Linked DNA regions of Xenopus tropicalis. The protein of the gene in region 1 binds, or shares a complex with, the protein of each later gene. Links are inferred from orthologs where the notes say so. Each region holds a gene or a part of one and is shown on either strand. Other genes may lie near its edges.

Evidence for each region. The genes of interacting proteins can lie anywhere in the genome.
Region 2: the proteins of nmur2 (region 1) and nmu are in contact, whole or in part, in a cryo-EM structure (PDB 7XK8), measured with the Homo sapiens proteins. The link is inferred for Xenopus tropicalis from reciprocal best matches to the Homo sapiens genes NMUR2 and NMU. Residues at the interface, in NP_064552.3 of Homo sapiens: Ser42, His43, Gly98, Glu102, Glu105, Met106, Trp107, Arg108, Asn109, Tyr110, Pro111, Thr123, Phe126, Glu127, Asn181, His185, Pro199, Ser201, Thr203, Cys204, Val206, Tyr213, Phe284, Arg288, Phe291, Glu295, Trp297, Ser298, Glu299, Ala302; in NP_006672.1 of Homo sapiens: Glu146, Phe152, Ala153, Ser154, Gln155, Gly158, Tyr159, Phe160, Leu161, Phe162, Arg163, Pro164, Arg165, Asn166.

The regions. Positions count from the first base shown.
Region 1 is NC_030679.2:12,966,932-12,974,472, forward strand, and holds the start of nmur2 (neuromedin-U receptor 2), read left to right. Parts: upstream 1-3,090; 5' UTR 3,091-3,779; coding exon 3,780-4,502; intron 4,503-7,541. UniProt on the Homo sapiens protein: Receptor for the neuromedin-U and neuromedin-S neuropeptides.
Region 2 is NC_030677.2:40,450,859-40,457,843, reverse strand, and holds part of nmu (neuromedin-U), read left to right. Parts: intron 1-2,046; coding exon 2,047-2,085; intron 2,086-2,194; coding exon 2,195-2,254; intron 2,255-3,269; coding exon 3,270-3,299; intron 3,300-3,400; coding exon 3,401-3,451; intron 3,452-6,985.

The DNA of each region.
Region 1 (7,541 bases):
GATTGGATCATACAGAGGAGCCTGCAGGCTCATTGGATAAGGATTGCAGGAACACACCACTGCGGTTTTCATTGGGTGGGAACATCAAGCCTATACAACTGATATTTGCCCTATTTTCAGCCAGATATCGGCCATGCAGGCACGTCTGTGGGCCCCATACATGAGTAAATAGGCCGTTGACTCAATCTGGAAAGACCTAGCTTGTTTTGCCCGTAAATGGCCACCTTTAGAAAGATCAGAGGAACTAATATTATTAGACTGATTTAATCAACTTATCAGAGTAACCAATACTCCACTCAAATGATAAAAATAAATACTAACACAGAGATTACAAGGGTTCATTAAGGTCCCCATACACGTGAAGATTCGCTCGCTTGGCGAGATCGCCAAGCGAGCGGATCTTCACCCGATATCCCCACCTGCGGGTGGGCGATATCAGGGAATGTGTAGGCTAATTCGATCGTTTGGCCCTGGGGCCAAACGATCGAATTATATTGGCGGAAATGGGGCAGTCGGTTCGGGGACCGCATCAACGAGCCAATGCGGTCCCCGATCTGACTGAATCTTTAAAATTGTCCGATCGATATCTGCCCAATTTCAGGCCAGATATCGGTCGGGCAGGCCCATCAGTAGTGCCCATACACGGGCCGGTAAGCTGCTGAATCGGTCTAAGGGACTGATATTGGCAGCTACAATCGTCCCGTGTATGGGGACCTTTAGACGTCAAAAGGAACTCCGGCACATGGGTTTAATGTTTAAACAAGGATATCTACTGTGTTTATTTGTTAATTTGTTTGGCTTGGCGCAAATAAACACAGGGGATATCCCTATTTAAGCATTCAACCCTGGTGCTGGAGTTCCCTTAAATTTCTATGTATGGTGGAGGTGCTGTCCTTCTTAAACTCTGAAGTACCAGGGTTACCCTAGGTGTGCATTTGTTTCTTAAGGTCCCCATACACGGGCCGATTGTAGCTGGCGATATTGGTCCCTTTGACAGATTCGGCAGCTTATCGGCCCGTGTAGGGGCAGGAACGAGGGGCCTGCCCAACCAGGGCCGGATTTGTAATCCTTCCGCCCCAAGGCCGCCCCCCTCCGTCGCCCTCCGCACATGCGCACGATCGGCACACCCCCACCATGCGCATGCGCGAACGTGCGATCGGCACCGCCCCCATGCGCATACGCGAACGTGCGATTGGCACCGCCCCCTCCCCAACGTGCATGCAGGGTGTAAACATTCGCATATGGAGCAGTGGGGGAGAGGTCCCCACTGCTCCATATGGATGAAAAAGCTTAAGATTGTGGTGCGGCGGGGTGGCATGCCGCCCTAGGCCTGGGCCTTTGTGGCCTCTCCACAAATCCAGGCCTGTGCCCAACCGATATCTGGCCTGAAATTGGCCAGATATTGACCGGGCAGGTTAAAATATTTAGTCTGATCGGGGACCGCATTGACTCGTTGATGCGGTGCCCGAACCGACTGCCCCATTGCCACCATTATAATTCCCCCTGGGGCCAAATGATCGAATTAGCTAACATTTTCCCCGATATTGGGGATATCGGGAGAAGATCCGCTCGCTTTGCGACATCGCCAAGCGAGCGGATCTTGACGTATATGGGCACCTTAAGAATTAAGAGACCAATTAGACTAAATTGTTCAGATTTCATTGTACTCATAAGAGAAACCAATTTGACTAAAGGTCGCCATAAACAGACCAACGCCCTCTGGTATCCAATTTGCTGTCGGTTGAACAGATTGAAAATGTATGGGTGGCCTTACAAATTCATGACCCCCTTCCTATTATTTCCCTTATTCGGAAATGCACTTGATGACACTGTGCATAGGAAGATGAAATTATCAAACGTGCGATCTTTTAGCCAAAATGGCCTTCAGACTTGGCATATATGTCCAGATGCTTGGCCAGTATTACAAACCATTTTTTGTTCGCTAAAATTTCACTGCAATTAGACATCATTGGTCTGTCGGCCCTGTACAGTAGGGAAAAGTTTAGTTTAAGAATCTATGTTACTGGAATACAGCTCCCAACATGATTAATCCTATCAGAGTTATAATATTATAGGATCCCTTATCCGGAAACCCTTTTATTATTACAGAGAAAAAGGAAATCATTTATAAAAATTAGAAATATTTGCTTATAATAGAGTCTATGGGAGATGGCCTTTCCGTATTTCTGGATAACAGGTTTCCGGATAAGGGATCCCATACCTGCATTGTGTATTGTTTTTGTACGGAAGCCTTAAGCCGCAGTAGCTTATGGCATCACTTACAGAAAGTATTAAAAAAAAAACCCAATGCAGAAATTAAATCTATAAATTAAGGTGAAAAACTATGAAAACATCAGTCACTTTATTTTATTTAGTTATAATTCAGGCAAAAGAACCCCAGACAGAATCCCCAGCTGATATCCCCCAGTTACATCCTTTTCATTGTTAGAATAATGATTTTGCCGGAGCATCCAATGAGCACCCGTTAGGGGAGGAGATGTCATTCTGGAAACGGAGATCTATACAAGGCAACTAGTGCTTAATCTTCAGCAGCAACGAAATCTGAGATTCCAACATCGGCAGCAGCAGCAGCAGCCTTTCTCATACGCTCACACAGGCATTTCTGGGAAAGTACTGGGGATATATTGTTTCATTACAATCATTCTTTTGTTTTATTGACTTTATTCTTTAGTTCCCCTTTATTATCTGCCTCACCATTCATTCTCTGCAAGATTTCAACCAAGGAACTTCTTCACTTGCTTCTATAGACCATTCATTCTCTGCAAGATTTCAACCAAGGAACTTCTTCACTTGCTTCTATCCACCATTCATTCTCTGCAAGATTTCAACCAAGGAACTTCTTCACTTGCTTCTATAGACCATTCATTCTCTGCAAGATTTCAACCAAGGAACTTCTTCACTTGCTTCTATAGACCATTCATTCTCTGCAAGATTTCAACCAAGGAACTTCTTTACTTGCTTCTATAGACCATTCATTCTCTGCAAGATTTCAACCAAGGGACTTCTTCACTTGCTTCTATAGACCATTCATTCTCTGCAAGATTTCAACCAAGGAACTTCTTTACTTGCTTCTATAGACCATTCATTCTCTGCAAGATTTCAACCAAGGAACTTCTTCACTTGCTTCTATAGACCATTCATTCTCTGCAAGATTTCAACCAAGGGACTTCTTCACTTGCTTCTATAGACCATTCATTCTCTGCAAGATTTCAACCAAGGGACTTCTTCACTTGCTTCTATCCACCATTCATTCTCTGCAAGACTTCAACCAAGGAACTTCTTCACTTGCTTCTATCCACCATTAATTCTCTGCAAGATTTCAACCAAGGGACTTCTTCACTTGCTTCTATCCACCATTAATTCTCTGCAAGATTTCAACCAAGGAACTTCTTCACTTGCTTCTATCCACCATTCATTCTCTGCAAGATTTCAACCAAGGAACTTCTTCACTTGCTTCTATCCACCATTGATTCTCTGCAAGACTTCAACCAAGGAACTTCTTCACTTGCTTCTATCCACCATTCATTCTCTGCAGGATTTCAACCAAGGAACTTCTTCACTTGCTTCTATCCACCATTCATTCTCTGCAAGATTTAAATCAAGGAACTTATTCCCTTGCTTCTTTTCTTCTACCTTTTGTATTGTCCCCTTAAGAAACTTGGCTGTCATTCTTGTATTCTTTTTATTGCTTCTCTGTCTTCTGTATTTGTACCTCAACTTTTCAGTTGTAATCATCTCACATTCAGATTTTTAGGAGGATGGATGACCAGCAGAACATCACTTTCATGTGGCCAAGTCATCTTCCTCCGGACAACTCCATGATGAGATACCTCAACAGCACAGAGGAGTACTTGGCTTACTTGTGTGGTCCAAAGCGCAGTCGCCTATCTCTACCAATGACTCTAGTCTATGCAACTATATTTCTTATTGGAGTCATCGGAAACACACTCGTATGCTTGGTCATCCTAAAGCATCACAATATGAGGACCCCTACCAACTATTACCTGTTCAGCCTGGCAGTGTCTGACCTCCTGGTTCTGCTCCTTGGGATGCCTCTTGAAGTGTATGAAATGTGGAGCAACTACCCTTTCCTCTTTGGCGCCTGGGGTTGCTATTTTAAAACAGTCCTTTTTGAAACAGTCTGCTTTGCCTCCATCCTAAGTGTCACCACTGTTAGTGTCGAGCGGTATGTGGCCATCATCCACCCATTCCAAGCCAAGCTGAAAAGCACTCGAAGCAGGGCTCTCAAAATCCTGGTCACTCTCTGGATCTTCTCTATTCTTTTCTCCATCCCAAACACAAGCACACACGGTATCCTATTGCAGTACTTTCCCAATGGGAGCCTTATCCCGGATTCAGCCACGTGCACCGTGGTTCAACCTCTGTGGATTTATAACTGCATTATCCAAGTGACCTCGCTGCTGTTCTATATTCTTCCAATGGGGGTTATAAGTGTCCTCTATTGTCTGATGGGAATAAAAGTAAGTTCCCCTACCTTGTTTTGTGTGTGTTGAGGGAATATCAGACTAGTAGAAGTCTAAAACAACTGCATTTTTCTGAATTTTTCTTGAAAACATTTCATCCAAGTGGCTTCTTCTGAACTGAAGAAGCCACTCGGATGAGTGGTGAAACGTTGTCAAGAAAAACTCAGAAAAGTCCAGTTGTTTTAGACTTACTTTAGACTTACTTGTTTTAGACTTTTAGGCTTTATACTGTATATCATGACCTGGATGAATGAGAAGCTTCATAGAAATATCAGAACTGCTCTTTCTGCTTTAAGTTCAGAGATATGACCATTGCTGTGTTAACATAAGTGAAAATGTATATTTCATTAAAACTGCTCTCTGACATGCAGACAATGTTGAACTAAATGCTACCTCCAGGGAGAATCTATGCTTTATTTAATTGCATGGTAAATATCTGTACAGAAATGGCACGGCATTGCAGAAAGGAAGCATTGCATAATGTTACATGAAGGCAAGACACTAAATACAAAGGGTTAAATAGTTACATTATTTGGAAAAGAAACCTTTTCAGGCAGGATAATATAAGCAGGAGATCCCCAAGAGCTTGCAGTTTATGTATGAAAGTTATTTGGTTTTTAATAAAAAAAGACACCATATGTTATTTAAATTCTTTTTTCTGTATTTTTCCTATTGGGTTTATTTCATGGTTAAATGATTCCCTTTTCTCTGTAATAATAAAACAGTACCTGTACTTGATCCCAACTAAGATATAATTACCCCTTATTGGGGCAGAACAGCCCTATTGGGTTTATTTAATGGTTAAATGATTCCCTTTTCTCTGTAATAATAAAACAGTACCTGTACTTGATCCCAACTAAGATATAATTACCCCTTATTGGGGGTAGAACAGCCCTATTGGGTTTATTTAATGGTTAAATGATTCCCTTTTCTCTGTAATAATAAAACAGTACCTGTACTTGATCCCAACTAAGATATAATTACCCCTTATTGGGGGCAGAACAGCCCTATTGGGTTTATTTCATGATTAAATGATTCCCTTTTCTCTGTAATAATAAAACAGTACCTGTACTTGATCCCAACTAAGATATAATTACCCCTTATTGGGGCAGAACAGCCCTATTGGGTTTATTTCATGATTAAATGATTCCCTTTTCTCTGTAATAATAAAACAGTACCTGTACTTGATCCCAACTAAGATATAATTACCCCTTATTGGGGCAGAACAGCCCTATTGGGTTTATTTCATGATTAAATGATTCCCTTTTCTCTGTAATAATAAAACAGTACCTGTACTTGATCCCAACTAAGATATAATTACCCTTTATTGGGGGCAGAACAGCCCTATTGGGTTTATTTAATGGTTAAATGATTCCCTTTTCTCTGTAATAATAAAACAGTACCTGTACTTGATCCCAACTAAGATATAATTACCCCTTATTGGGGGCAGAACAGCCCTATTGGGTTTATTTAATGGTTAAATGATTCCCTTTTCTCTGTAATAATAAAACAGTACCTGTACTTGATCCCAACTAAGATATAATTACCCCTTATTGGGGGCAGAACAGCCCTATTGGGTTTATTTCATGGTTAAATGATTCCCTTTTCTCTATAATAATAAAACAGTACCTGTACTTGATCCCAACTAAGATATAATTACCCCTTATTGGGGCAGAACAGCCCTATTGGGCAAAACAATTTTATTGGGTTTAAATGATGTTTAAAAGATTTTTTAGTAGACTTAAGGCATGGAGATCCAAATTATGAAAAGATCTCTTATTCGGAATACCTGGGTCCCGGGCATTCTGGATAACAGCTCCTATACCTGTATAATATCCAAGGTTCTATTTCAGCCAGGGCACTACCTGCAAGGAGCTTGTATGTTCTCCCTGTACTTTTCTGGATTTCCTCCCACTCTCCAGAAATATACATGCAGGTTATTAGGCTCCTGATAATGATTAACTGGGGCAATGAATGATTTATAATCTCTGTTAACTTCCATGGAATATGCCAATGCTATATAAATGAAGGATAGTAATCATCTTTAATATTCTGCAAATATCTACATAGTAACATAGTAAGTTAGGTTGAAAAAAGACGTACGTCCATCACGTTCAACCTTAATGCCTATATACAACCTGCCTAACTACTAGTTGATCCAGAGGAAGGCGAAATGTTAAATATAAAATAAGAGATGGGGGACCACAATATAAAGAAGTTAATCAGGAATGTCCAATCTGCAGCCCTCTAGCACTCCATTTCCAGCACTCCCATCCGACTTTGGCTCTCAGTGGAACAATGGAATTCTATACTGTAGGTCAGTGATCCCTAACCAGTGGTTTGTAGGCAACATGTTGCTCACCGACCCCTTTGATGTTGCTCCCAGTGGCCTCAAAGTAGGTGCCATTTTTAAATTTATGGCTTGGAGTCAAGTTTTGGAAGCGTTCAGACCCAGTTTAACTCCAAGTAGAGGCTCCTGCAGGCTCGCAGTCCCCATGGAGCTACCAAATAGCCAATCACAGTCCATATTTGACACCCCCAAGGACTTTTTTTCATGCTTGTTTGGCTCCCCAACTCTCATTACATCTGAGTGTGGCTCACAACTAAACAGGTTGGGGATCCCTGCTATAGGTAGTCATTCAAGAACAGTAACTGGTAGACCAAACAGTGTAACAGAGATATGTCTTTTGGAATATAACTCCTCTGTCATTCTGTTATTTGGTAAATGGCTGATACATTTATTTTGTTAGTGTAAAACAGTCAAACCCATGGCTAGTATAGGTTTAGATCATGGGGTACATGCGACTCAATCCTTCAAGATGGACCTTCGCTATGTGGAAGTGACCAAGGAAGCCAGGGGGTGTAGTGGAACTACAACTCACTTTGGCTGTGTGCAGTGCAATTTAGCAAAAATGGACACCAGAAGGTTCTTGCAGTTGAACAATAGAACTGGTTTATTTTCAGAGACAATCAATGTGCAGGGTTATTGCAATATACTCACATACAGATGGTATATGATAGTAGTACTCTGAGGAC
Region 2 (6,985 bases), on another chromosome or scaffold:
CATGCTGTAAGTGGATGTTAAACCTCCCTTGAAATGAGGCATATGCAAATTGTATTAGTCTAATGGAGAGGCAGGCAAAATCTCAGAAATAAAGAGGGCTAAGTGTTTTATTTAGTAAGTGTATGGGGGCCGGACACCTGGGGAGATTTTTTCCCTGTGATGGTATACAAAATTATAATGAAGCTCACGCTAGGAAAATTTTGAAAATGTCTTTACCATTCCTGTATTTTTTTACGTCTTATCATTTTATGGTTTTCACGTTACTGTATTAATTTAAAAAAAAAAAGATATAGGGCTTTGTAAAGTTCTTCCCAGAGTAGTTTTGCATGCTGATTTATACATTTATAGTTGCACCAGTTCCTTACCAGTAGCAGCAAACTAATTCCCAACTCTAATCAAGGGTAACAGCTAAGCTGCTCATGCATGCTCTCATCCTATCCCGACTTGACTACTGTAACCTGCTATTAACCGGCCTCCCTAACTCCCATCTTTCACCCCTACAGTCTATATTAAATACTGCTGCCAGAATTCTCCTCCTCTCATCCAGGAGAGTTCAGGCCCTTCTGCTGCTAAAGGCCTTATCATGGCTTCCTATTAAACAAAGAATTTCCTACAAACTTCTTCTTCTAACCTTCAAAGCCCTCCATTCCTCTGCTCCTCATTACATCTCTTCCCTTGTGTCTCTGTACGTTCCTGGCCAACTCCTTCGTTCCTCGCAGAGCAATCGTTTGGTTGCGCCCCCCACTGCTACTGCTGTTTCCCGCCTTAAACCTTTCTGCCTTGCTGCCCCTTACATTTGGAATGCCCTCCCTGATTTCCTCCGAAGAGAATCCTCCCTCAGTCTTTTTAAAACCAAACTAAAAGACTAGCTTTTGGAGCACTCGCCCAGCACCTGATCTGGGAAATAGCACTTATATTGTAGTGTCACCCACTGTGACCTACAGCACTTATATTTACCTATTTGTGTCTGTAAGTTACCCTCCCATATAGATTGTAAGCTCTACAGGGCAGGGACCTCCATCCTCTTGTGTCTTTGACTCTTAACCTATTGCAACTGTTACTTTATCTTGTATTTATTTGTATTTATTGTTATACTTTGTATTTATCTATTATCTTATTAACCCCCTGTTTGTATTAATGTATTCTACTGTACAGCGCTGCGTACATAAGTAGCGCTTTATAAATAAAAATATACATACATACATACATACATACAAGAAATGAAAGGAAGAATGTATTTTGCTGCTATTGATAACTGCATAGATGTAAGTTTGCACCGGAATATTTAATTCCAGAAGAGGTAGCAGTCCTGTTAATAAAACAGCTCCTGGCCTTTTAAGGGAGTAATGTAATCACAGGAACGAAGTTTTTTCCAAGTCTATCCAAGTCATGGCAAACTTTCAGCAACTAGCCTCTACTAGTCTTCTCTGTAGGAGCATATATCTGATTAGTTGTGAGTTACTAGACCTAAAGCAGACTTTGTGCCTGTTATTACTGCACCCATTTTCTGTAATATGCAATGTAGTAACTGGTTCATTTAGCTGACTTTTAGATCAGGACATGGCTATCATAATTTGGGGAAAATGTTTAAAATAATAAAACTTGATATGGAGCTGGGGGATACCCTCAATATACTAAGGGCAGGTTTATTAAATTGTAAGTTGAGCTTAATACATAAAAACTCACTCCCCGTTCTATTCATTCCTATTCATTGTCATGATAAATCTGCCTCTAAAAATCAGATTTATGGATTATTATATTTTTTAACAAAAGGTAATGATGCTTACCACCTGTTAAGAACTGACCAATCGATTTTCATTTATAAGCATCTTTTCTACACCTCCTCATATGAAGGATCGTGATAAAGAAGCATACCAAATTGAGGTTTTATGAATAGATAGTGCTATAGGTGTTTTATAGGTCAGTACATTTCAGCCTGCTGGGAATCCACTGGGTGTTTCTACCTCTTGGTTTCAGATCAAAAAGATTTTGACATGTGCAATGCTCTTTTTAAAGATATTATGTAATTTTCCCTCTTTTCAACAGCTTGGCAATGATTGTTCTACAATCCTGTCAGATTCACTGGTGAGTATGTACAATGATTTGTTTTCTGCCTTTCCTTCTTGATTTTTTTCTACTTGATTTAAATGGAATAAATTCAGTACTGAGCCTGCTTTCACTGTGTTCATTGCAGGGACCCAGCACATTAGAAGAGCTGTGTTTCATGATTATGGGCATTCTGCAGAAGTCTCAGGTAAAGCAAGGTTTCATTCGTAAGTGACTTATTCTTGGCATTTGTCTTCTGTTCTCCATTAACATCTGTACTTCATCCTGTACTAGGCCCCGAAGAGTAGACCATAAAAGGGAGGGGATTATTAAATGTAGGTGGGATTGGGATATGTTGGATCAGTGCTACAGGTGTACAATAGATATACATTTTATACATTATATACATCTTGTCATAAGACAACAAGATTTTGGTTGGTTGGAGCAATTCAAGAAGCATTTTGGACAGTTGGCTGCATAGGTTTAAATCGATTCTGGTGCTTTACCTTTAAACCATTTCAAACCATGACACATACTACGAGACGTGCTGAACAGAGCATACAGCACCTTCTACCTTTGTCATGGGCATAAATCTGACTTGATAAGGAGATTAATGGTTTCTATAGCTGCCCGATAAACAATTATCCCCAGAGATATGCACTGACATAATAAGGTATCTAAAAGTAGTTAGAGGACCAGCACTCCCTGTGAATATGATTATATTTTCTTTATTAACACATTGCACAGAGGAAGTCAAATGTTTCAGTACTCATTAGGACCTTTATTCTTGATAAAGGTCCTAATGAGGACCTAACAAAGGATGCACTGCCAGAGATGCCCTTTTGGCAGGTGAAATAAATGAATAGTAAAAATAGTAATGTTTAGTACATGAATGAATAGTTCATGAATTGTAGCATGAAACTCTATTCATTGACTGATCTATAACAGAACCCTCGGTGCTGGCACGATACAAACTTATAGTATATACTACATGCTGGTTTGTTGGTATGGGCTACTATAACTTGAGCATACTTTACACCTATTATTTTATTCCTCACCCCCCAAAGAAAAATTGGCACCTCAAGTGATGGAGCTTTGGACATTAACTTGGTAAAAAAAATGTCCCTACCATATAACTCTGACATGCAGCTGCTGTGTCGTAAATACTGATGCACAAGTTCTATGAGGGTTAATAAAATATTTTTTGACTGTATTCTTTGCAGGGTTCAGATGAAAAAGAGGAGAGCAAAAGGGTAAGTAGTGTACTGTACAGAACACATACATTGTCAAGATAGCCCTTATCCATGGACTGGTTCAGTAGTAAAATAGAATTTTAATTTTTTTCCCTGCGCAGTTCTTATTTCATTATTCTAAGAGTCATGAATCAGGCAACTCAGACATCACGGTAAGTTGCACAACCTCTGAGGGAACCACACTGAAATAGTCACACTAGCACTCTACTGGGGTTAGTCCTGTCCGCTCTACTAAGTATTAGTGTATATATGTCTTCACATTTTGGCCAAAAGGAATATACTAAAGCAAAATGCTTTTCAACATAAGGCTATATTGTGGTGACTTATACTAGTTTTAACTTTACAAACAAATACATTGAAAAGCCTTTTTGGGATAAGATATTCGAATAGTATGGTATAATATACAAGGAAACATAATCAGAAGTTACACTTGTATTAAAAAGGACTGAAGAAGTTTCCCAGTAGACCATTAGTAACAATTTTTAGTTTCACCCACTGGAAAATGCAGGAATCATCACGAAATAAACTTGGTTCAACTATTTAATGTGCTCTAAAATGAGCACATAAACTAGATTGGATGGCAGGGTGCAAAAAAAAATTGTGCCTGCTTTTTGCACTTTTGCACCCATACTTCCATTTCATAAATAACCCCTTACAGAATTACAGAATTCTTACAGAATTGACATGGATTTGTTTAAAATTGACATCTATAAACTCCACATCTTATAACTGATAACATGGAATACAGTGTAGTGCCCAACTTTATTATGTTTTCTCCCACAAACCACTGTTCCTCCCAAGAATTCCAGCTTACAACTAGACACAAGCTATGCATCAAAACCCATGCAAAATGTGCATCCTACTGTAAATTGTATGCATCAAGTATGGGTGTCAATGTTGGTGACACGCAGGCATGCCATGGTCATACCCATATACACCTTTTATTTTTCAGTATTCTGCTGCACCAAAGTAACTTGTAGGAGTAAAGCGTTATTTGAACCCTGAACTGAATGGATGCTCTTTGGATCCTATTATGTTACACCTTGACACCACGTGCTAATTATCATGGGCCAAATTATTTTAGTTATTGTCCCAAGACAGCTTGATTTTGTCCAGACAAGTTTATCAGTCACACACAATAAATCTTCTCTACCATGGGCGACTAAAGGCTTTTAAAAAAGGCTTTCACACTAGAAATAATGCAAAGCTCCTGTGGGAAACCATATCCGTCACTTCAATTTTGGTAGTAGCCCAAGGTTACATTGCGACTTTGCAAAGCTGAAGGGACGTGTTTTCCCACCAGCGATTTACATTATTACTGGGGGAAAAACAGTTCAAGAAGATTAATCGCCCATGGTAGAGGGGATTTAACTTGGGCAACAAATCTCCATGTGTATCATCACCCTAAGTGGCAGATTTATCAAAATGTTAGAGTAGCGTTTACCACAGAACATTCACACTCACCCACTATCTATTGATCCCCATGGGATTTTTAGAAGTGTATTTATCAAATGGTGAACTCTAACTTTTACCCATTAATAAATACACTTCTAAAAATCCCATGGGATTTTCGGAGCATATTTTGGTGCAGAAACAAGCAATTATCCATTTTGGCAACAAAATCTGCTCCATGTTCCTGCACCAGGGCCAACACAGTGAGAAGGCTGAGTAGAGTAAGGGCTGTGGATAAATGCCGGCCGTGAATCAATCCCCTGTGGCAGTAGCCTAAAGTGAGACTGGTGTTATAATTAGGGTAATGGCATAATGATTACTTGTTTAGTCATGTCTTTATAGCTTGGTGACATCAAGAAAACCACCCCAAATTGCTTCTGAAGTTCATATTGAAACCCTGGGAGGGGGCTTATGGGTCCGCCTGTTTGGCTAATTTAAACAAAGCCTTTAATAATTTTGTTCTAACTATGTGATAACCCAGAAACCTTTCAGATAACAAACTTTGGTGTTGCATGTTTGTGTCCCTTATTCTAGTCTCCAGAAACACACTGCAGTATGTTGCTTATGCAGATACTGTTGAGAGGGCAACAGGAACATGCGTTGCAATCAGATTAGTTATACACAGTGGGCACTTGGATTTCTGTATTTTATACTGATACTTTGGATTCATAAACAAATATTGCTGTTAAAAAAAATTATAGTATGAAAATATAGATGAAAAATCCATTTTACATATATTCTGGTAACTGACCCAGATTCAGTATTTCTCCAGGTTGTCTGGTTTATTAATAAAGGGGTGGTTCACCTTTCAGTTAACCAGTTCTTAGCAAATTCTCAATTGGTCTCAATTTTTTATCATTTTTAAATTAAAAAGGTTTGTGGCTACATTTCATTGTTGCTGTTAATTTTTATTTCTTAACTTTCTATTCAGACCATATTCATATTCCAGTTTCTCATTCAAACCACTGCCTAGTTGCTAGCAACCATATAGCTGCTAAAATTTACCCTGGAGGGTTGCTGCATATAAAGCTAAATAATTAAAAAAACACAATAATTAAAAATGGAGACCACTTACAAATTGTTTTAGAACTACATACTAAAAGTAATTTGAAGGTGAACAACCAGCTTAACCAATTTTTTAAACATTTTTTTGATCACTGGGGAGAAGCAACCCATCATGATCTCCTGTTCCACGATCATTGCTCTTTAGGTTACCTATTGTTTTAATCAGAGGTGGGCCAAGCCGGCCGGGCGCCCTAGGCAACCCGGTAGGCCACCTCGCCCAACCACCCTCCCCATGCTTTGGCACGCATACGCAGTCCAGGGGGGCGGCTTGCAATGCGATGGGTCATTGCCCCCACCGCTAATTACAAGCGGCGGGGCCAATGGCAAAGAAGGAGGACTAGCGGTAGGCAGGAGAGGCTCCTGCCTGGCGCTCCATAATCATTGTGCCCTAGGCAGCTGCCTCTTCTGCCTACCCCTAGTTCCGGCCCTGGTTTTAATACAGCAAATTTGAAAGCAGCTTTCTAACTTACATAAAACTTATGTTTAATCTAAGTCGCCTCTTCATTTCCAAAAGCCTGTGTGAAGTTCTCAGCTTCTAATTTTTGTGGAGGCATCTATGTTATTGCTTGGTGGTCATTATGTGTGTATGTAGCAGGCAACTGTCTTTATATATGTCTTTATAGCTGGCCATATCAGCAAGCTGTAAATATAGGATCAGGGTATGTGCGAGTGCTTGCATGTCAGCTTGTGTGTCACCTAAAGGCTTAATTACTTCAGCAAAGGAGATTATGAGTATTGTCCACGTACAGAATGGTCTCCCCTATGTATAGTAATTAATAAAGCAGATATCAGTATTACTATAGAATAAAAATAATTAGCCCTAAGTGATAATGCTGCAAATAATTATGGAAAAATCAATGGTGTCTACTTTGTAACCACAGTAGGGGAGAGAGCACTGAATAAATACATTCTCCCCTCATCTTTATTATGCTGGGATAAAGAAATGCACATAAAAGTGTATAATAAACCTTGGCAAATACTGATTTTTCTTTCAACTCCCCATTAATTATATATAGCTGTTATATACTAACTCTGCTACCCCAAAAAACTTTTTAATTGAAGATTTTTGTACATCTCTTTATTCAAGGTTTTCCAATTTGTTCTAAACAAAATTGGCACCATCAAATCAGAGAAAATATATTTTACAGATCTTACAAATTTGATGCAGC